Linked DNA regions of Tamandua tetradactyla. The protein of the gene in region 3 purifies or fractionates together with the protein of the main gene of each other region. This does not show direct contact. Links are inferred from orthologs where the notes say so. Each region holds a gene or a part of one and is shown on either strand. Other genes may lie near its edges. The genes, in order: TLE2, PDCL3 and CCT8.

The links.
Region 1: the proteins of CCT8 (region 3) and TLE2 purify together in Homo sapiens (affinity purification with mass spectrometry; 3 studies listed by BioGRID and IntAct, with this or other methods). This does not show direct contact. The link is inferred for Tamandua tetradactyla from reciprocal best matches to the Homo sapiens genes CCT8 and TLE2.
Region 2: the proteins of CCT8 (region 3) and PDCL3 purify together in Homo sapiens (affinity purification with mass spectrometry; 3 studies listed by BioGRID and IntAct, with this or other methods). This does not show direct contact. The link is inferred for Tamandua tetradactyla from reciprocal best matches to the Homo sapiens genes CCT8 and PDCL3.

The regions. Positions count from the first base shown.
Region 1 is NC_135337.1:79,384,237-79,392,270, reverse strand, and holds the start of TLE2 (transducin-like enhancer protein 2), read right to left. Parts: upstream 3,077-8,034; 5' UTR 2,806-3,076; coding exon 2,782-2,805; intron 2,671-2,781; coding exon 2,573-2,670; intron 2,278-2,572; coding exon 2,214-2,277; intron 1,747-2,213; coding exon 1,702-1,746; intron 1-1,701.
Region 2 is NC_135343.1:6,153,242-6,161,326, reverse strand, and holds the start of PDCL3 (phosducin-like protein 3), read right to left. Parts: upstream 3,013-8,085; 5' UTR 2,887-3,012; coding exon 2,881-2,886; intron 1,329-2,880; coding exon 1,202-1,328; intron 1-1,201. UniProt on the Homo sapiens protein: Acts as a chaperone for the angiogenic VEGF receptor KDR/VEGFR2, increasing its abundance by inhibiting its ubiquitination and degradation.
Region 3 is NC_135336.1:88,345,316-88,352,730, reverse strand, and holds the start of CCT8 (T-complex protein 1 subunit theta), read left to right. Parts: upstream 1-4,415; 5' UTR 4,416-4,516; coding exon 4,517-4,576; intron 4,577-6,710; coding exon 6,711-6,801; intron 6,802-7,415. UniProt on the Homo sapiens protein: Component of the chaperonin-containing T-complex (TRiC), a molecular chaperone complex that assists the folding of actin, tubulin and other proteins upon ATP hydrolysis.

The DNA.
Region 1 (8,034 bases), on a different chromosome or scaffold from region 3:
TGGCTGGAGATGGACTCATGGGCCCAGGCAGCCCCCGGTAGTTCATAAACCAAGGGAGAGGGCCCGAGCCCCAGGTCCCATCTGGGCAGGCCCTTCTCTGGGTCTCCTCTGCAACCTGGGGCCAATCTACCCATCTGGGGGTGGAGTGGAGGGCAGTGGTTTGAGGCAGCCATGCCTGGGTCCCACCTCAAGGCAAGAAACAAACAGGAGGTCTTTTCATCTCAGACAGAGTCTGAGCTGGGGGTCCCTCAAGGAGGCTGGAGAGAAGCTGCCTGGGTGGGGAAGGAAGGAGGAGCACGTGGCATTGCCATGTGTATGCTCCCCCCCCCCCCCGACATGTGTTTTGCATCTGCTGGCCATGTGCCATGTGGGGTCTGTGTCTGAGTTTGACCTCTCAGGCTGCTTTGGACAAATCTGGTGTGTGTGTGCGTGTGTGTGTGTGCACTTGGCTGGAGGGTGGTATATCTTCCATGTATAAGTCCGCCGTGTGTTTCTGGCACATGTGTCTGGATTATGTGTCCATGTGTGTACCTGTATGTGTGGTCAGGCCCCATATCAGCCATGGGGGTGTCTGGCCAGACCTCAAAGCCCCAGGAACTGTGCTGGCCGGAGGCCGGAGGGAGGAACACAATCGGTCAGCCCCCACCTCTGCTATCCTATGCCCCTGCGCCCCTGCAGGGGGGCAGTACCAGGATGGGGAGGATGGCAGCTGGACGGAGAGAAGCCTGGTCCCTGCCCCATGCCCTCCACCCCATAAAAGGGGTCTAGTCCATGCACCCACATGACCACACCGTGCTCCAGGCAGACAAGCCCCCTTCCACCTGGATCAAACCAGTAGACCCAAGAAAACATACCAGGGCAGGCATTCCCTGATCCCGGACATCTACCTCTTGTTATCCTTCACCTGGAAGTCCCAAACTTTGGCTCTGACCATTGATTCTAATATGCCAATGGACAGAATCTAAGGACCCATCAACATCAGAACCTTGGGTCCAATAGGATCACCTTAGAAACCATCAAAGAACCTTGAGCTCAGTCCCTGAGTCTATCTCAGGACATAAGGGTCAATCTCAGAACCTCAAGACTGCACTCAGGAGCTTGGCAGGAGTCTCAGAACCGTGTCCCTCACACCCTACCACTGAAGTCAACCTCAGAGCCTTGAGGACAGTCACCGAACCTTCAGATCTATCTCAGAACATTGAGACCACACTCAGACACTCTGTGACCGCTCTCAGGACACGGGGGTCAAACTCAGAACCTCGAGGACACTCATAAAACCTTCATGTCTGGCTGAGAACCTTTAGATGACACCCAGAAGCTCGGGAAGAGTCTCAGAACCTCATTCCATTGGGGTTCGTCTCAAAACCCTGAGAATAGTCACAGAAAAGTCCTGGAGTCGTAGTCAGTCTAAATAATGGCATCAAGTTCAGAGCCTTGGGTTAGTCTCAGAACCTTCTGGCCAATTCCACTGGCATCAATCTCAGAACATTCAAAACAGTGAACCCTGAATGTGGGCCATCTCAGACCCGCAGGATACCCAACTTCAGAATCTCAGGTCTCCAAACCTATCTTCCCTGGTCGTCCGCCAGGACAGAAGTCACCTCTAGTACGTCCCTCACCTAGCAGTTCAGCAGTCTCTGCTGGGGCTGCCTGGGTCCCTCCTGCAGTTTCCACACCCCCACCCTCCCGGCGAAACCCTACCTGTTTATGCATCTCAATGTTGAGCCCATACGACATCTCGTAGTACTGCAAAGAAAAAACCAAATTGGGAAAGACCAGGATGTCAATATATATCCTGGGCTGGGGTCTTCCAGGGGCCCCCAGACTGGGGGAGTCAGAGAGGGACACTGAACCTCTCAGCCCCAAGGGGTGGCAGGAAGGGAGCCAGAGGAGGAAGTAAGGGCTCCCATTGGAGAGACAGTGCCCTCCACTCTCCCCGAGCAGGGGGGGCAGGTAGGATGCGCCCAGACACCATGTCCCCTCAGAGATGGACATGCAGAGAAATGGGGGGCATCCTTCTCTCCTTGTTCCGGGGAGCTAGGAAGACTTTCCGAGCCCAATTTACAGTTTGGGGAAATGAGGCCAGAGAGGAGCAGCCTGGGCCCGAGGTAGGGGTGTGTAGGGGGGTCAAGATATAAACCGGAAGATTTTCACCCACAGCCAGTCCCCGTCCCCCCCCCCCACCCAACCCTGGCACCATACACCCCCCTCACCATGACATAATGTCTCTGCATTTCCGTCTTCTCGCTGGCCAGCTTCTCACACTCTAGCTTGAGACTGGGGAGGAAAAAGGGGCATGGGGGTCCCGCTTGCTCTTGCCCCACCCCACCCCCAGCAGGAGCCCCCCCCAGACCCCATCTGGCCTCTTTTCCAAATTGCTGGCTTTTGTCCGCTCCCTCCCCAGCAGTGACTGTCCCCCCTCCCTGACACCTCCGTCACCTGCGTTTCCACCTGGACTCCTTCCCGTCGCCCCCCAGGGGGCCCCGCCCCCGCCGCGCCCCGCCCCGCCCCTCCGCGCGCCCCGGGGTTCCCAGGTGCGCGCTCGCGACCCTTGGGGCGCCCCCCCCCACACCTGTGGTACTGAGCCTGAAGGAACTGGAATTCCTCTTTGATCCGGTCGCAAATCTCCAAGATCGAAAACTTGAAGGGCTGGCTCGACTGCAGCGGGGTCTGGGGTGCGGGAGGTGGGGGTGCGGGGGGTGGTGGTGGAGAACGTCCAGGTCTGAGTGTCCGGACGCCCCTGGGGGCCCCTCATCCCCGCCGCCCGGGGTCCCCACTCACCGGGTGCCTGCCTTGGGGGTACATCCTGCCGATCCGAGAGGGCCCCCCACGCTGCCGGAGCTTGACAATATCGGGGAGGTAGGGGGGAGCCCCGAGGCGTAGGGGTGGGGGTATGGGGGGGGAGGTGGAGAAGCCGGAAGGGAAATTGCCCGAAGAAAGAAGAAGAAGAAGAAGGGGGGGGACCCCGGAGTCCTCGGCGCCCCCCGAGCGCGCGAGGGGGACGCGGGGAAGGAGCGCGGGGGGCGCCGGAGCCTCCTCCCCCGACCCGGGCGCGCGCTGGGGTGGCCGGGGAAGCGGTGGCGGCGGCCCGGGGCGGGGACTGGGGCGCGGGCGGCCGCGGCAGCCGGCGCAGAAGGTCGGGCCGCGGCCGGGTTTCGGTGGCGGCGGCGGTGGTGGCGGCGGCTGTGCGGGCGACGGGCCCCGCGCGGAGCCGCCTCCCTCCGGCCCGGCTCGGCCGGGAGCCGCGGGCAGAGCCGCCTTAAGGTGGCGCCGCCGCCCCCACCCCCACCCCCACCCCGCCCCCCTGGCCCGCCCCCCCCACAGCCCCAAGCCCTCCGCGCCAGGGCCCTGGGGCCCCTGCTCCCCACCCCAACCCCGCCCCAGGCTGTGGCGCTCCGGGAATCGCACACCCCACACACACACACTCCCTTTGACGGGCAGGTAAACTGAGGCTCGCGTCCAGTCCTGCATACCCTCCCCGGGGTGGGGGGGGTAGGCCCAAGAGAGAAATGGGAAGACAGGGGTGGGGGGTGACGGGGGAGGGAAGCAAGGCAACAAATACACATGCAATTAATTGCTCAGTGTGGTAAGTAGTTTAGGGGTGGGTGGCAGTTTGGGGCCAGAAAATTTCGGTAGGACTGAAGAATGAGGAAGAAGTGTTGGGGTGGGGGTGGGGGGGTGAGACCACCGGGCAAACAACTGTAGAGGCAAACAATCCACCCCCCCTACCCCCACCCCCACCCCGCCCCAGATGAGACGGAACTCCACCACGTACTGGCTTGGGCCAAGTCCTTGCTCACTCTTGGCGACACAGGATCTTCATCTGTAAAAGGGGTGGGGTGGGGTAGGGGGGTGGGGAGCTATTTATGAAGCAGGTGATACAGGAACAGTCCGGAGTTTGGCCTGAAGCGGAGTAAACTGCCAGAGATGGAAGGTAGGGTTCCGACTGCCTCTGCCAGCAGACTGGGCTGTCTTCCCTTTCAGGCTATGGAAAACGGCATTTCTGCCAGCAGACTGAGGTCTTCGGTAAAGGCAGGGGCTCCTTCTCCCACCTCCCATCACAAACATTCAGGAGAGCTTCCCTCATACACACTGGGAGATGGAAGGTTCTTGCTTTCAACTTTGCAGATGAGAGACCTCGGGGGGGGGGGGGGGGGGGTCATTTGTTAAGTCAATCAACAAACACTGCTGTAGGCTCTTGGGGACAGCAGAGGACCAAACTTGACAAACCCTTGTCCTGTGTCAGTGGCCCATCCACTGTGGAGAAATGAGTAAGTGAACTGGCACAAAAGCCCCTCAAGGGCAGACGGAGCAAGACCCGAGTTATGTCCTGGTGGACTTTTTTGCATATGCAGAGGAATAATTTAGGGAGCAGTGATAGAGACTCACAAAAGGGGCTATTTATCTAGGAGAGGCCTCTCTGAGGAGGTTAACCTTTGAGCTGAAACTTGAAGGGTGAAGATGGGCTGCCATGGAAGTTATGAGGATGTGTGTGTGTTACAGGGAATAGTCAATGGCTCCCTATTGCCATTAAAATAAAATCCAAAAACAAACGAACAAAAAACAATAAATAAATAAAATCCAAGTCCCTCCTACCTACCAGACCCTGCTCAAGTCCCCTCCACACCCCTCAACTACCCACCCTCCCCTCCTCCTGCCCTACCATTTGCTCCCTCTGCTTCAGCCATGAGGGCATCCTGTTTTCCAACACGCCCAGTCCAGAGTAGCCTCAGGGCCTTTGCACAGGCTGTGTTCTCTGCCTAATACCCTTTTCTCTTCCTTCTCATCACTCAGTTCTCAGCTCAAATATCCCCCCTTCAGGAAGCCCCCTCCTGACCCCCATCCCCATTTAAGCAGTGTCACATGTCCTCTTCTGTAATTCCCAAAGATGAGTCTTGCCCTACTCCCTCCCCTTCTAGCTCCTATCAGAGGTGTCTTCGTTTGTTTCACATAATCATGTTTAGCCATAGGTTGCTTTATTTGTTTTTGGCTCCCTCCCTAAGCTCCTGTTCTTGGTCCCTGTGGGGCCTGGTATACAGTAAGTGCTCAATAAATGGACAGGTAGTCCGGGGAGGTGACTGACCAGAAGAAACAGCTGACGGGGCTAAAGCCAGAAATTAGTGGGAATTCTAAGAAATACCAGGTTCCCCAATTCCACAGGGCCAGCAGTTCCTGACTCCAGATTCTCAGGGTCTACAAAGTCCTGACTCTAAACTCTTTCCAGAAGGTGTCTTGCCTCTCCCAGATTTCCCCTCCTTAGACCACAACTTCAAATAGTCACACACACACACACACACACACACACACACACACACACCTGCCCCCAGGCCCCCCCATCTGCTCCTCATGCACTCCCACCTTCTCCTGAGCCTTCTCTTGCCCAAATCCTCTGAGCTTCTCAAACTCGAAGCTCCTAAACTTGGCCCTTGTCTCCCAGCCCTTCTCAGAGCAGCCTCTCCTCTTCTGATTCTCTCTTGACTTGGCGGCTGCCTTCCCCTCCTAAGATGGGTCTCCTGGCCAGGCTCGGTGCCACCACGTCCAGCTTCTCGAGGATGCTCCAAACTCTGGGCCCATTCCGGGACCCTCCCCTGAGACCCAGCCCTGCACGTCCAGCTTCCAACTGGGCATATCTCCTGGACATTGACTGGGCTTTCAGACCCAGCATCTTCCCCCAGACCGGGTCCTCACCCTGTCAAGTCCCACAGTTCACCCTGATCCCCCAAATCAGTCACCTAAACATCTGCCTAGCTCACCCTCTCTCCTTGTCTGCTGTGCAACCCAGCCTCCCATCCCCGAGCTTCCCCTACCCCCCCCCCCCACCCTTTCCAGGGACCAGGCCTTCTTCCTCTCCGGACTGGACCATTAGCTACCTTCTCCCTCTGAGCAGCCTCCCCTCCTGTGGCTTTCCCTAAATCTGTCCCTCCCACTTAAAACCCTCCCATGGCTCCCTATTGCCCTTAGGACAAATTCCCAACTCCTCAAGCTAGTATGGGATACCCTGCACCACCCACCCTGCCCAGTTTCACCTATATGTGCTTGATCACACACCCCTCCCCTGCTCCAGGGGCACTGACCAAAAGACCTGATCTGCCTATTTTCCTACTTTCTCACCTTTTGAGCTTTTGCTTTTGTGCTTATCTCTGCTGGGAATCCCCTGTACCTCCTCTGCTGCCTGGAGGAAGTCCATTTTCTCTTGAGACCCAGCCCCAAAAGGTATCTCCTATCCTGCCCCCAGGACATTGAACACAAAAAGTCTGATGTAGGTAGATAAATGGGTATTTATTCGGTAGCCACTTCCCTAAGCTGGAAGCTACTGGGAGTCCCAAAAAAGATCCAGACCTTGCCCTTGGGGGGCTCCCATGGTGGGTGGGGAGAGGAGACAGAGCTGAACACTTCTACTCTTGGGACTTAGGGATCCACAGAGCAGGGAGCAGGGGGAGCTCTGTTCGACAAGTCAGAGAAGGCTTCCTGGAGGAGGGGACCTGCCCACTCCCACTCACCAGTCTCGCATTTCTGCAGCCAGGCACACGCCATAGGCAGAGTAAATACAGATTTGCGGATTGTGGGAGAACCCCCAACACACACACAAACACAAATACACACACACACACTATCTTAGTGTGTACATCCGCTAGAAGGACAGACGTTTTGCTCTGAGCAGCAGTGTCCCCAGTTTGAGGGGCCGGGGGGCGGGGGGGGGACAGTGGGCGGATGGTGAGGCTCAGAGGAAAGCAGTCTGTGAGCGGCTGGGGGGCGGTTGGGCAGCTAATCCTCGCTAACTCGCTGAAATGCCACATCCGGCCCGAGCAGGAGGCAGGGAAAGGGCTCAGCAGGCGTGAGTTAAAGCCTGGGCAACGCCGAGCTCTTTCCACTGAGAAGACTTCCCCCAGCTAACTTGTTCGCTATCCAGGGCTTCCCACTCCATCTGTCTGGGTCTCAATTTCCCCCTCTGCAGAATGGAGGAAGAGGCTTCTCTTCCCAGCTCTCCTCTCCCGCTGCAAAGCAAGGGTTCGCCCCGGCTCCTGCCTGGGTTTTTACAGTGTGGATTTTTTTTTTCCTTCTTTTGAAAGAAAAAGCTGAGAAGCAGCGCCAGGAACCGGGATTGCTCAGACCACCTTAAATCAAGTTCGCCGCCCCAGCTACTGTGGAAATTCCTTTCTCCGCGGTGGTTGGCTGGGCGCGCCAGCCAATCCGCCCGCGGCGCTCCCACATGGGTCCGTGACGTCACAATAGAAGCTGGCCAATGGGAGACCAAGGAACCGGCAGCCAATGGCAGGAGGCACTAGGGTAGGCTGGACCAATCGGAAGGCGGCTGGGCTCTCAGCGGGCTAAGGCGAGGGAGGCTCCCCCTCCCTTGGAGAAGCTGAGACCCTAGTGGACGCCCCAGTCCTGCCGGGTGGAGTCGGGGTTCGGCTCGATTGGTATCCAAAACCCAGGGGGAGCGGGCCACCCGCTAGGCCTGACGGGTCCCCCCTTAAAAACTGTAGTCCCTCGTCCACCGTGCACTTCGCAGAAGCCCGGCCAGTTCCTGGCAGAGGATGCGCCTTGCACCCTATTTTACAGAAAGGGAAACTGAGGTAGAAAGAAGTCGAGTCTTGCTTGACGCCCTGGGAAGAGCTGAGACTCGCACCGGACGGAGCCTTGAGGCTTCAAGTTTTTGTCCCCAGAGGGTCAGATGGGGGAGGCATCACAGGGCTGGTCTGTAACCAGGGGCTGGAGGTGGGAAGCGGGGAGCTCATCTCCGTGCCTCAGTTTCCCCGGAGGGTAGACTGGAGAGGAGCCGGGAGCGGGGATTCTCGGAAAGACTACGATTCCCAGAAGCTCCCGCGCCGCGCCGCCCGGACTGTCAATCAAAGTAACGTGGGTCCCTCTCCCGCCCGCGCTTCCCCCCACCCCCAACACACACACATCGCCCGCCGCCTCCCTCCTGCCAGTTCCCGCTCCCTCCCCGCCGGCTCCGAGCCCGGCGCGGTATAATTACAGCCCATTGATCCGACCCGGGCCGGGAAATCAGCTCCCTCGGGGAGGCCAAGC
Region 2 (8,085 bases), on a different chromosome or scaffold from region 3:
AACGACTTCTTGCCTCATTAGGGGTAAAAGCCCTACATGTCCTAAATCATCTGGCCTCTAGCTTCCTCTCTGAACTCTTTTCTACAACTCTCTCCCAGTCCCACTGGGTTCTCCTGACAGATTCTCCAATATGCCAGGCCCACTTTTCACTTACTGAAGTAGCTTGTCCCACCTCTCTCAAGTCTTTTCAAAGGCCTCCTTCAGCTCCTTACTCAAACGTCATCTCCACCAACTTTCTCTTTTAGCTCTTTACTTAAATGTCAGCTTCCCAGGCAGGCCCACTCTGGCCTGTCTAGAACTGTTCCCACCTTTTCTCCAATCCTTTCTAGCCCCTTCCTTGCCCCATTTCCCTATTTTACTTACTTATATTGTTTATTGTCTATTTCCCCTACTAGAATATAAATTTCCAGGCAGGGATTTTGTCTGGCTTGTACACAGCTAAATCCCTATTGCCTAAAACAGCAGCTGACACACAGTAATCTTTCAATAAACACTTACTAGAAAAGTGCATTACAAGAAATTCTTCAATAAATTAGCTCTAACATGTAAATAGGGGGCAAAAGTACCAGCTGTTGTGATCAGTGGTTCTCAAACTTTGCCACGCAACAGAAATCATTTGAGGCTCTTGTTTAAATACACATTCCCGTGCCTCACCCCCAGAGAGTCTAACTTACAGGGAATTGGCAATATTTTTAAAAAGCACCCAAAGGGAGTCCAATGCAGGTGTTATGGCCATCTTTGAGTAAACCTCTTTTAGACCCCATATATTGCAAACATCTTATGCCTCTCCAAATTAATCTATTTTAATTTAATATCCTCCATCAAACCACAAAGATAGTAAAGTATAACCTCAGAGGAAAACAAAAGCAAAAAAACTTCTTTTGAAAAAATTTCTGTGACATTACCAAAGTGAATCATAGGCTAGAAAGTTAGATTCAGAAATACTTTCTTTGGGACTATCATGTGCTCATCTGACCCAAACAAGCAGCAATGGAAGTGAAAGAAGCCTTGGAAGCCCCCCTAATTCTACAACCCGGGATGGTGAAGGTTAGAGACCTCCTGTGACTTGCCTGACGTCACACAGTGTCTGTGCCAGCACTCTCTTTCTCAATGAAACTTTCTATCACAGCAGTTACATTTTGAAAGTTTTTTTCCTAAGCTAGATCGACAGGGAACAAATAAAGAAAACACGTGAGCTCACCAACTGACTGCTGAAGGACTCGTCCTTCCTCCTCTGCCTCCTTTTCCGATTCTTTCACACTTTCCTTTGAGGGCAAGATGCCCTTTTTGCGTAAGATGTCATTCCACTCGGTGTCCGCACTGGGGTCCTAGAACAGGAGGGTCAAGCACACCGTGAGTGCAGAGTCCAGTGGGGAGGGCCCAGGACGCCGTGAAGATGAAGTAGAGCATGGAGGGCAGTCTACTGGGCATGGGGTCAAACTGGAAAGGCAGTAGGAAGAGAGGAACTCAAACCAAATAATCCTGAGGTCTACTGCTGAGAAAGGGTCAAATGACTCACAGCCCCTGCTCTGTTCTTTCCCTCTGCTCCTCTCCTGCACTCTCTCTCCCCCTCCACCCACAGCACAGCTAGTCTTGGGGTAAAAATCAGGATGTGATGTGCGGACTGGCATTGATGCTGATGTCAAGTCTCGAACCTTGCTTCTGCCAAGCATTTCTATTAAAGACCTAGAGTGCTCATTCAACAGAGAAGGCAGGTCAATTTACCCAGATCAAATCTCAGAAGGATAAACATCGCGGTGGGCTCTTCAATGGAGAGCCCAGCAACCCAGGCGATGGTTTGGCATGGCTTTGTAGAAACATGGCTAAAAGAGCTCAGACTTGGTACGGGATAGAAAACCAACAAGGAACCCTGGAGAATGGGCACTGGGGTAACCAGTGCCGTCCTCAGCTGCGTTACTGGCTTCCTGAGAGACAGCGAAAGAAGAACGAAAGGAGAATCCGTTCAACAGAGTGGTCAGGGAAGGCCTCTGAAGAGGTGACATTTTTGAACAAGGACCTAAAGGTCAGAGAACGGAAAGGAGCCACCTTCGCAAAGGAGGCCAGGGCAGCCCTCGAGCTTCTTCTTCAACATGTAATAGTGTGTGTGCGCGTGGCAGACACGGCCTATCTGTGCCTGAGTTGGAACCTCGCCAGCCCCCACGCCCACCGCCCCCCACCCCAAGCCAACCCCCACTACCGGCATTTCCCAACCCCAGGGCTATTTAACCAGAATTCTTGACAAAGTGAGATCTGGGAGGCAGCGAAATGACCTTCGGGGCAGCGTCCTCAACAGCCACGAGGCCATACTGGGCGAGCGGAGACCAAAATTCAGTCGCCACAGACGTCTGCTCCTGCAGGCGTCATCCCCACGGAGTTTATACGCATTTTCTTTCCTCTTCCCTTCGGTATGAGCCACATTCCTGATGTGGTAAAAGGGGCAAAACTAGGGGATGTGGGTCTTATCCGCTTCCGGGCGGAAGACGGCACTGGGCAGGGCCCCCCGGGTTGGACGGGGGGACCCAAAAGCAGACCAGCGCTCAACAGGGGCACGAACTCGCGCCCCGCGACTCCGGCGGCGCCTCCGCGTCTCCCCGTCTCCAATTCCAGTCAGCCTCAGCCGCGCCCTGGGTCCGCGGCACCCGCCCGCGCAGGGGCAGCCCCCGAGGGGCGAGCCTTGGACCGCGAGCGCCGCGCGCGGGGGCAGCCGAGGGCGGAGGGACCACGCCCGCCCGCTCGCAACACGCCTGCGCGCGGCCCCTCAGCGGCCCGTGGCCCCCTGCGCTTTCCGTAGGCCGGGCCAGGACCGTCCGCCGCCGTGGGGATTCAGCCAACCAACAGGCGACCACAGCCTCCAGGCCCCGCGCCCGCCACCTCACCCACCTGCATCTTGCCGCAAGTCCCTCAGGTTAGGCCGGCCGTGGAGCCCTCTCCCCTCGGTTCTCGTCCGCGCACGCGCGCCCCGCCCCTTCCCCCGGCCCGGCATTCGCCCGCCCCCCGGGGGCGAGCTGGGCGGGGCCAGGGTGATGCCGAGGTTTCTGCGTCTGCGCCGACAGCTTAGGTATGCCGGCGCAGAAGCGGTGCGCATGCGCGGTATGGGCCGGGTCTGGTGTCTGTCGGGTCGGCAGTTCACAAGGTCGGAACCCAATCCTGGAAACTTCCTTCTCGGGGCGTGTCTCACGTGAGACGTGGTAGAGTGAAAGGAGGAGGTGTTCGGAGGCGTCCGAATCTGTAAGGGGGTCTCTGCTCCACAGTGGGAAGCCTGCTTTAAGATATCAAAGTGGGAATGCGTGTCAGTGGTCAGATGTTACAATTAATAATGATACGGGAATCCACTCTCTATCATTGCCTCGTGGGATAAGGCAATTCATTCATTAGACAAATGTTTATTGAGCACCTACTATGTCTCAGGCACTAGTTTAAGCTCTTGAAGATACAGGAGTGAGCAAATTGTAAAAAACAGTAAGGTGGCGCAACAACAGAAAGACAACCCAATTTAAAAGTGTGCAAAAGACTTTGCATAAACATTTCTCTGAAGGTGAAACATGAAAAGATGCTCAATTCCATTAGCTGCTAGGGACATGCAAATCAAAACCGCAATGAGATACCATTTCACATTGTTTAGAGTGGCTACTATTAAAAAAATAAAAAGTATTGGAGAGGACATGGAGAAACGGGAATACTTGTTCAGTGTTGGTGGGACTGTAAAGTCGTCCATGTGCTGTGGAGAACAGTTTGGTGACTCCTCACAGTGTTAAATATAGAAACCATATGACCTGGCAATACTCCTTTTAGATATATACCCAAAAGGATTGAAAGCAGGGGCATGAGTAGATATTTGCACCCTGATGTTCATAGCAGCATTATTCACAATTGCCAAAAGATAGAACCAACCCATGTGTCTGTCAGTAGGTGGATGGGTGAACAAAGCATGGTTTATATGCACAATGGAATATTACTCAGCTGTAAAAGGAAATGAAGTCCTCATACATAAGAAAACAGGAATGAGCCTTCAAGGCATGTTGAGTGAAATAAGCCAGACACAGCAGGATAAATACTGTATGAGTTCACAGATATGAAGTCATCAGAATAAGCAAATTCATAGAGTCAGAAATTAGAGTACAGGTTAGCAGGAATCAAGTTGGAATAGGGAAGAGAGTCAATGCTTAATTTGTACAGAAATTATGCTTAGGGTGATGGAAGGGTTTGGTGTCGATGGTAACACAGCACTGGGCATGTGATTATAGCACTGAATTGTATATTTGAATGTGGTTAAAAGGGGAAATTTTAGGTTGCATGTATGTTATTAGAATAAATAAAATGCCTGTACAACCCAAACAGTGAGCCTTAATGTAAACTTATAGTACACGTATATTAATATTCTTTTAATTGTAGCAAAGGTACCACACTGATGCAAAGTCTTAAGGAGGGTAATGTGGGGGTCTGTATTTTCTATATGATTTTTCTGTAAACCTACAACCCCTCTAATAATAAAAAAATTGTTTACAAAAACGAAAACAGGTGAAATTCCTCTCACCTGATTAACCTCAGGGGACACTTATATATATGCACAAGTACTTAGCCCTCAGCCAGCACCCAGGAGGCACGGAGTACAAATCTGCAGTCTGACTTGCAAAATTCAAGTTCTATGCTCCAGGGCCTCCACAGCCCCATCATTCTTGAGGCTGAATTAATAGAGGAATATTCAGCCCTAGTAAGGACATCTGAGCTAACTTGCCATCTCCTGGCAATGAAGCAGGCACAGGTAATAGAGAACCACGCACCTGTGGGGGAGGCTCAGGGCTGCAAACCTTGGCTGCCTGGAAGCCTTACACTTCAGATGTTCCAGGTCTCCATCCCCAGACGAATTTAATCCCTGGAGATGCCCCCAGACTTGATATTTTCTTACAGGTCCTTGGGTGATGTTAATGAGTACAACCGTTGATGTAGAATGAATAATGATTTATAAGGAGCCTAAAAATTTATCTAACTCCTTCCCACAAAGTTGCAGGTCTTTAAGTGTGTTTATTAATTTACTTGGCAGCATTCGTGATTGAATTTTCATGCAGAAATCAGGACTGGACTTGTCTGGGGTGGGTTTGGCCCCATGCCTTGCTCTGTCTCGGACCTTCACAGCCAGGTGCTGCCATGTTGTTCCCTCATCCCAGCCTTGGCCATTTCCCAAGACATGCCCTGTCTGCAGTTGTCTCTTCACCACAAGACCCATTCCTGCCACCCATTATAAGCCAGATGCTATACTCTGTTTCTCTCTCCTGTTAGCAGGAAAGGTGGCACCCCTCTTCTGTCCAAGTCTTGTTCCGTCCCCCTGGCTCCAGATCCCAGTCCCTCTTACTGCCCCTCTCTTCCCCAAAGACCTTTCCAACCTTCCATCACTCTTGGTTCTGCAGAAGATAGTTAGGGCTCAGGAGGAACAATCAGAGGCATCAGGATTGGAAAAGAAAAGGCAGAACTATTTCTATTTCTATCTGATGTGTTAGCATATCTGGAAAACTCAGGAAAATCAAAGCTTTAACTCATACCAGCAATATGAGAACTCAGTCTAGGAGAAGGATATAAAATTAGCATACAGAAAATAGCCTTCATTGACGTATACTTACAGTAACAAGCTAGAAGATATATTGGACTCCAATTAAATAACAACAGAAAAGAAAAAGTACTTAGGAGTAAACTTAAGTGCTCAGAAAACCTGCATGAGAACAATTATAGGACATACCTGAAGATACAAATTGGACTTGGGTATATTGAAAAGCATCTCTTATTTTTGGATAGGATGACTCAACAGCCTAGAGAAGTCAAGTTTCCCCAATTTCATATGTAAAATTTAACATGATCTAAATGTTAAAACCCAGCTGTGGTAGTTAGATTCAGTTGTCAACTTGACCAGGTGAAGGCACCTAGTTCTGTTGCTGTGGACATGAGCCAATGGTACTTGAACCTCATCTGTTGCTGATTACACCTGCAGTCGGCTAGGAGGCATGCCTGCTGCAATGAATGATGTTTGACTTAATTGGCTGGTGCTTAAATGAGAGAGCTCAACACAGCACAGCCCAAGCAGCTCAGCATACCTCATCTCAGCACTCACAGCTCAGCCGAGGTCTTTGGAGATGCAGAAAGAAATCACCCTGGGGATAGTTGTTGGAACCCAGAGACCTGGAGAGAAGGCCAGCAGAGACCATCCTGTGCCTTCACATGTAAGAAAGAACCTCAGTTGAAAGTTAGCTGCCTTTCCTCTGAAGAACTAACAAAATAAATCCCCTTTTATTAAAAGCCAATCCATTTCTGGTATGTTGCATTCTGGCAGCTAGCAAACTAGAACACCAGCAAATTATTTTCTGAGGCTAAACCTCTTGTCTGTTTTCTAATTCTTATGCCTCTAATTAACCTTGATTCCAGAGTTTTTATGGGAAAATAAACAAGAGGAGCAAAGGTGAAGGTGGAGAGCTAGCCCTACCAGATATTAAACAATGTGGTATTAACGTACGAATAGATTAAGCAGCATAACGTGTTCTAGATAAGTCCAGATATAGAGCCAAATACATATAAACATTAGTGCATGCTCCGTGCTCTCTGTGCTCTGGGGCAGGGGGCAATGTTTGTAGTAAAAGGTGTGGGGAAGACTGGAGACCCATCTGAGAAGAGATAAAATTGGATACATACTTCACAGGGTATATAATAAAAATGGAAAGTATAAAAATACTAGTAGAAAACAAGAGAAAATTTCTTTATAAACTAAAAATGAAGAAAGCCTTCGGTGACTATTACTCAAAATCCAGGATAAATAAATTGAAAGTATGATGAATTTGACAACCTAATTTTTTTTACATAGAAATAATAGGCACAACAGGATACCTTTGGGTAAAGGAAAGATTTTAAAATACAACTTTCTCCTTGTGTAAAGTCATTTTTGCTTAATTCTGCCAATAGAATCATAGAGGGAAGAAACTGGAAATTAATGGACGCTATGGACTCTTGGGGGGAGAGGGCAGAGGTGGCAGGAAAAGGACAGGAGTGAAAACCCTCCCACAAGCCTCTGCTTAGGGGTAGACACAGGGGTGTTGGACTGAGGCACGTGCAGGCTTGGAGGCCTCTTTAAGAAAAAATACAAATGCACGAGTATAAAATTAGGCCTGTTCTAGTTTGCTAGCTGCCGGAATGCAACACACCAGAGACGGATTGGCTTTTAATAAAAGGGATTTATTTCATTAGTTCTTCGGAGGAAAGGCAGCTACCTTTCATCTGAGGCTCTTTCTTACATGGGAAGGCTCAGGGCAATCTCTGCTGACCTTCTCTCCAGGCCTCTGGGTTCCAACAACTTTCCCCTGGGTGATTCCCTTCTGCATCTCCAAAGGCTGGGCTGAGCTGCGAGTACTGAGATGAAGTATGATGAGCTGCTTGGGCTGTGCTACGTTGAGTCTCTCATTTAAGCACCAGCCAATTAAGTCAATCATCTTTCATTGCAGCAGGCACGCCTCCTAGCCGACTGCAGATGTAATCAGCAACAGATGAGGCTCACATACCATTGGCTCATGTCCACAGCAACAGAACTAGGTGCCTTCACCTGGCCAAGTTGACAACTGAATCTAACTACCACAAGGCATAAAAATGAATTCTTAGAATTAAAAAGAAATAATTACAAATCACCCATTTTAAAAACCTGACAAATACCACAAACATGGCAAAATCCAGAAAAACAGCATAGTTTTCATTAATTAATCTTCTGACTGGCTATCTGATACCATAGATGACCTCTGGCTCCACATGTCAAAGCCCGTCTCTTCTAGAACTATGCAGATGTGTCGAGTCAGGGAGGGAGCTCCGTGGATTTCATTCACATCACCGTATGTTCTCCGGCCTGCAACTTCCTGTCATGCTGGGTGAGCGGTCGCAGGAGTTATTCCTGGAAGTCATTCCCACCCTTGGACCATCAGCACCAACTATACATAGAAGTAACCGCACATTACATAAATGTCTCTCTCTAAATATACTCCCAATTCAACTTCCCTTTAGCCAGACTCCACAAATAGGCCTGCGTGCTCCAATGCCAGCTGGCACAGAGAAGCCGGGGAG
Region 3 (7,415 bases):
GACACATCCAATTGTGGGTATTAAACTTTGATTAGAGGGAAATGTGACTCCACCCATTCCAGGTGCGTCTTGATTAGTTCACTGGAATCCTTTAAAAGAGGGAACATTTTGGAGAAAGCTTCACAGCCACAAGAACCACAAGAGCCCATGCAGCCAGAGACCTTTGGAGATGAAGAAGAAAAATGCCCCCAGGTGTGGCTCATGAAACAAGAAACCTGGAAAGAAAGGTGGCAAAAATCGCCATTTCATGGCCTTGAAACTGTAAACTTGCAACTTAATAAATTCCCCCTTTTAAAAGCCATTCTGTTTCTGGTATATCACATTCCAGCAGCTAGCAAACTAGAGCATCTACCTTAGGAACTCATTTCTCCATCATAATCCAGAGCATCTGGAGGCACCACTGTATGGGTGGACTGAGATCAAGAACACACAACTGTAGCTGTGAACCAGGGAGCAAGAAACCAGGTTCAAGAAACAGTTCTTGCTAAAGAGTGTTGGTGGGGTTATGCAGAGAAGGTAGGGTTTAACAAATGAATATGAGTGCTGAATATTGATATTTCTTTTAGTTGCCAGTATCTTAAAGCAGCTAGAAGTGAAAACTTAAAATTGTGCAATTGTAACCCATACCAAACTCCTAAATCTGTTCTACAACTAATTGCTGCATTGTGCTTTGAAATTTATTGCTTTTTGTATATATGTTATTTTTCACAAAAAAAGTCATGAGGAAGAACAAAGGAATGTCAGTATTGCAGGGTGTTGAAAATAGATAGTCATACATAATTCAAAACTTCACCTTCTGTGTGAGACTAAAGGGAGAAATGTTTATTTGGTGCAAAATTTATATTTTGACTAGTGCATTTCCTAGTTTAACTTGTATGGTCAGTTTGATTGAACACCATAAGTACATGGAATCCTGAATAGGGCATGAGATTTTGCTGGTTTGTCTAGGTCAATGTGATGCCCCCATAAATCCCAGAGTGATTTTAAGAGTAAATGAAGTATTTGCAAAGTCCCTTGAAGGAATAGGGAGAAAGAAAGAAATATTCAACTTCCCCATTTGGAGAATTTCTAATACTATTGCAAGCAGTGGGGACAACAAATCAATAGGCCAAGGCCTCAGTCTTGGGGTTTGCCCTTATGAAACTCATCCCTGCAAAGATAGCTAAACCTACTTAAAATTAGGCCTAAGAGTCATCCCCAGAGAACCTCTTTTGTTGCTCAGATGTGGCCTCTCCCTCTAAACTGATATGGCAAGCGAACTCACTGCCCTCCCTGCCCCCCTCTACGTAGGACATGACTCCAAGAGGTGTAAACCTCCCTGGCAACATGAGACAGGAATCCTGGTATGAGCTGGGACTCAGCATCAGGGATTGAGAAAAACTTTTTGACCAAAAGAGAGAAGAGAGCAACGAGACAAAATAAAGTTTCAGTGCCTGAGAGATTTCAGAGTCAAGAGGTTATCCTGGAGGTTATTTTTATGCATTAAATAGATATCCTCTTTTTAGTTTATGGTGTATTAGAGTGCCTAGAGAGAAGTACCTGAAACTGTAGAGCTGTGTTCCAGTAGCCATGTTTCTTGAAGATGATTGTATAATGATATAGCTTTTGCAATGTGACTGTGTGATTGTGAACACCTTGTGTCTGATGCTTCTTTTATCTAGGGTGTGGACAGATGAGTAAAAAATATGGATAAAAAAAGCAAATAATTGGGGGGAAAGGTTAAAATAAATTGAGTAAATTGAAATACTAGTGGTCAATGACAGGGAGGAGTAAGGGGTATGGCATATATGAGTTTCTTATTTCTTTTGCTGGAGAGATGCAAATGTTCAAAAAAATGATCATGTTGATGAATACACCACCATGTGATGATACTGTGAGCCATTGATTGTACACCATGTATAGAATGCTTGCATGTCAAGAATGTATGTTTCTTTGTAGTGCACAATAAAAATATATATTTTTAAAAATCTAATATATATTGGGTATAGGGAAATACTAGCAGTCATTGAGAGGGAGGGGCAAGGGGTATTGTATGTATGAGTTTTTTTTCTTTTTTCTATTTATTTCTTTTTCTGAATTAATGCAAATGTTCTAAGAAATGATTTTGGTGATGAATGTACAACTATGTGATGACATTGCAAGTTACTGATTATATACCAAGAATGGAATGCTCATATGTTAAGAATGTTCTTGTTTGTATGTTGTTATGCTTAAAAAATTTTTTAATAATAATTTAAAAAATCTATTGTGATGATAAAAGAAATATTTATTCCTTCTAGACTCCATGTTCTGGAGCAGTTAGAAGAAAAAATCTGAGATGATGGTATTGTACCCCATGACAAACTCTGGAACATGTCCTGTAACTACTTGTTGAAGACTGCTTTGAAAACTTGCTTTTTTTCTTTCTTTGCTTTGCATATACATTGCATTATACAATTAAAAGGTTAAAAATAAATAAGATACAATTGCTCAGTATTCCTGAAAACCCTAAAGAGTGCCCTTGGTGCTATCTAGTTTGTATAAAAGTTTCTCTTGTTAAGTTTCTTTTTTGGGGGGAAACTTAAGGCCTCCAGATTAATCCTAGGTCAGATGGGTCCTGAAGCTTAGAGGTACCATTCTCTGCAAGAACATCAACCAGTTTCATACCCCTACCCCATAAGGTCAAAACCCATTTCCAGCATGAAGCTAAAATGGTCATTGCCCAGATATCCCTGAAGATTAAGAGAAAGATCAAATGAGAGGCAAGAGGTATAGTTTTGAAATTAGGATTTAACAAATGACTGTGATCACTGACTCATCATATAGATATTTCTTTTTAGTGCCCAGTGTGTTAGAATAGCCAGAGGAAATACCTGAAGTTGCTGAACTGTAATCTAGTAGCCCTGATCTTTAATAATGGTTATATAATTATATTGAAGGGGAAAAAAAGCCAGTTGACCATATTTGTATGGATCTACTTCTGAATATTTTGTTTTTACAATACCACACTGTCTTAGCTAACCTTACTCTGTTTAAGTCTTACAAGTGGGTAGACTGCAATACTGGTGGTCAATAAGAGAGAAGGGTACAGGGTACAGGATGTTTGGGATTTCCTTTTTCTAGAGTAATGTAAATGTTCTAAAAATGATCATGGTGAAGAATGCATAACTGTGTGATGATACTATGAGTCACTGATTGTATACTTTGATGTATTGCATGGCATGTGAATATATCTCAATACTATTACATTAAAAAAAAAACTTAAAAAAAAGAAATGGTTGCCATCTTCACAGCTGCCCTTCCACATGTGCAAAGCTGGTGAGCAACTCCTAGCATAACGCAAAAAAAAAAAAAAAAAAAAAAAAAAAAGTGCATTGTCTCATGACTTTGCTTGCCAGCAGAAATGACAAAGTAACATGAAAATGGACTTTGTCTCCCTGCCATCTTCCAACCTTTATCTGAGTATACCTAATTGGTGGACACTTATTTGTATCCAAAACCATAGCTAAAAGGGACTCTGGAAAATATATTTCAGCTCCTTCGCCTCTTAAGTGCAGGACTGCATACGGTGTGAGAGTCTACCACATTCATCAGGAGAACAATTACTCTGAATTTTACCAAAAGAAGTAATAAACATGGTTTTCATTTACCAACAATCCATTCATAAGGGTTGAAGGAAAACTCCTCTCTCAAGCCAACGGAAGATAAGACTTCATCAATCTCAAGATATGTAAGGAAGGTATCATCAATATAAAATGTCTCACCCGAATTGACTTTTCTCATCTCCATAATCTAATCAGTAGTCATGACTAGTCACAGGTAGGCATCGGAACAACTAATCCAAAATTTAAAATAAGGAACTTTCATTCAGCTCAAAAAGTCCTAACTCCCATTCAATGCACAGTTATTCTCCTTCACTGGTTGATAGTGACTGACATATCCACTCAGTACGTAGCTATTCTTATTGATATTAATTATCAGCTTCACATCCTTAGCACTTCCCACAGTCCACATGACAGAGGAGACGTTCGACTCCCGTTCTGGAAGGAAAATGGCAAGTACTATGTCTCGGGAAGAAAACGTACACCCGCCCTAATGTTGGTGACTGGATCTGGCAGATTACGTAGAAATTAAATTTAGGAGGTGCGGTTCCCAGATCACAAAAGACAAAAATCAAACATCTCCATGGAATCTCGACAGTGACATCACCAAGGAGCGAATCTCCGCCAAGCAAACCGGCTTGGACGCTTGCGCATGCGTCGACTGAAAGGCGTAAAGCGCGCCGAGCGTTGGGCCGGATCGATCGATCTAAACGAGAATCGTCTGCTTAGCTCTGGCTATGGATGCTGCTTTTGTTATCGCGAGACCTCAGAACAAGCGACGAAGGTAGATGTTAGGGGGAAGGGGCGGACTCTGCTGGAGTGGGAGGAGGAGCGTGAGGTCGTAGTACGCAGCTTTCCCAGAAGGCTGCGCGAGAGTCTTGCTTTCTCCGGGATCTGCCGAGCGAGCGCGTGTGCTGGTTCTTTGCAGGCTGGCCATGGCGCTTCACGTTCCCAAGGCCCCGGGCTTTGCCCAGATGCTCAAGGAAGGAGCGAAAGTAAGGGATGGAAGAGGGGAATGAGGTGGGAGAATCGGTGAAGTGTTGCGGCGGCCGCATCGAAGGAGAAAGGCTCACTAACGGCCTGGCATGCTCCACCGGCGCTGCGGGCGGGGAGAAGATTCCAGAAGGGGAGGTGGGCTCTGGAGGGCTCGGCCGCCGAGGCCTGCAGATATTTCCGTTATTCCCTGACGCCGGGAAGGGTAGAGATGGCAGAGGGAGCTGATGAAGGGCAAAGCTGCGGGATTCGCGCTTTACACTTCCTAGCCGAGCGAGTGTAAAGCCATTCATGCACTTTCCAGCCGCAAAAATGCGGCTGATTAGGCTCACCACCCTTTTTAAAGGTCACGTGAGGGTGAAGTCGAATAATAGAAGTGTAATTGCTTTGAAAGCCGATTCATTACGATTCTTGCAATAGTGTCACAGATTATAGGATGGGAAAGGACAAGGACGAAGCGATCCACAAGAGAGCAGAGATACAAGAACGAATTCTTGGTTGTCTCTTTCCAATTTAAAAACGGAAGACTCTCTGAAGCAGTGCATTTTTGTAGGACAGGTACTTTTTGCAGTCCAGATTGGTTCTGGTTCCGGTTTCCTTTCGCAGGCTTGCCGTAAAACTTGGTCTTGCTTTCCTTTTCACTAAATGGAAGAGATTGGATCAGAAGACGGTACATTTGAGTTCTGCCTTGTAACCCACAGAATAAGTGATACCAAGACTCAAATAAAATTATATTGTTTTATGACCAGGTCTTGATTGTAGCATCAGGAGCAGAACTTTAGAATATATATCATTGCATTACTGTCAGATTTGTGTCTCTTGAGTTGCACATAGTGGTGTTCTATCTCCATATTCCTGGGTTGAATTAAATAGATCAGTATAGTTGAAATTTTAAGGGAGGAGAAGTGTACTAACAGTATTAGGGAGCCAGGATCTTATTTGCAGGGTGCACTTTAGGAATAATTTGAATATGCTAAATAAATATGAGGCTTTAACGTAGAATTGTGGTAAGCTATCTTTACTAAAAGTTATACTGCTCTACTAAAAAAGAAAATGAGTCATGCTGAACATCCTCATACCTTCCTATTAATTTTTTCCCATTAATATCGGTTTGGAAAAATTATATATCTCAATGCATTATTTAAGAGTCATTCATATGCTAGACGTTTCCACAGAGCATTTTATGTGAGGTATTCATTCAGGCACTGAAGGGACTGTGATAAAAGACAGAAGTTCCAGGTCTTAGAGTTTATATTCTTCTGAGGCAGAAATAATGATTAAATAATTTAAAATAATGATGTGAAGGAAATAAACAGTACTGTAGTAGATAATGATAGTAACACAAATTGCCTCAAAAAAGAAAGGATTAAGGGTATGTACAATTAAATCAGGGAAGAACTCTTAGCTCAGTGCTGAGTGACAATCTGGAGGCCCAATCCAACTCTAAAAAAGTCCAAAGTAAAATAGGATTTTTGTGTTGTGAGCGATTTGGCAATTTTTTTAATGTGTGCCTATTGGAATTGTGTGGCAGTTCAACCACATTCAAAGTCTATGTATGTTAGTTCCTAAGTGTTTGGAAGCAGATACTTTAGTTTCATTTCGTTTGTAAGTGGAGATTCCTAAAGAACACAGATGTGCTATTTGCAAAGCCCAGGCTTTAATACGATATTATAGAAAAATATACCACATTTCAAGTTTTACTTAGAAAATATTAATAAATTCTGAAAAGGTGTTCTACCTGAAATACCTCATATGCCTTCTGTGATCAGTCTTACCTATGTTACCTTTTCACAACTTACGGAGGTTAAAGACCCTATGATATCTACAAAATCTGTGAATCATTTATGAATACCAAACACTGTGCTTCACATGCCTGAGTTTTGTTTGATTGTCTTAACAGTCCTGTGAGGTGAGTACTATTATTTCCCTCCTTTTGCAGATGAAGGAGTGTCAGGAAAATTGCCCAGTTACTAGCCAGAAAGCTAGAATTTGCAGTTAGCCAGTCAGACACCAGACCCCGTATGCCAAATTCCTAAGTCATACTGGTTCTGTACTATAAGATAAAAGCAAAGATATCTTGTATTTAAAAATTCTTGTGTTTCATTGTCCTTTCTTATTAAAAATGCTCTTGTATAGCATTTTTCAGGATTGGAAGAAGCGGTGTACAGAAACATACAGGCTTGCAAGGAACTTGCCCAGACCACTCGTACGGCATATGGACCAAATGGTAATCTCTAAATTCATGTTTAAAAGCTACGGTCCTAGAATTTTGTCTGCCTGCTCTTCTTTTAAACTTATTCTCTGGGTATTATGTTTAAATTGAGCTATTTTAACAATATGGTTTTTAAAGTTACTTCAGAATTCAGTGGTACCAATACAGTGTTTACAGTTTTCAGTCACCATCTCAGATCTCTTTAGAAAAATAGAAATCAAAATGTTACTTTTTTTATCCTGTTGAGAGGATAGAAAATTTATGGTACTTTCACCATTGAAATAGTACCTAATGTTCATTGTGACAAACTCTGAGTAGTCTTATTTAAAGTGACATAGTTTAAGGGATAAAGTCCTCTTTCTTCCTCTTACCACTAAGTGAATTTGATACAGGTTAATCATCATAAAACCGAACATATTTTTTTGGTCTCTGTATACATTAATACAGTTTATTTATTGAACACTTGTTGCATGTCAGGCATTTCCCAAGTGGAAAATAAGTATAATAGGGCAGAGCTTCTGTTCTCCAGGACCTTGTAATGTTGAGAAAAGGTAGTTGTTTTTTAAAAGAGAGAGAAATAAGCAAAACTGTGACAAGAATTGTCATTCCCCCAGTAGGTATTATAGGGG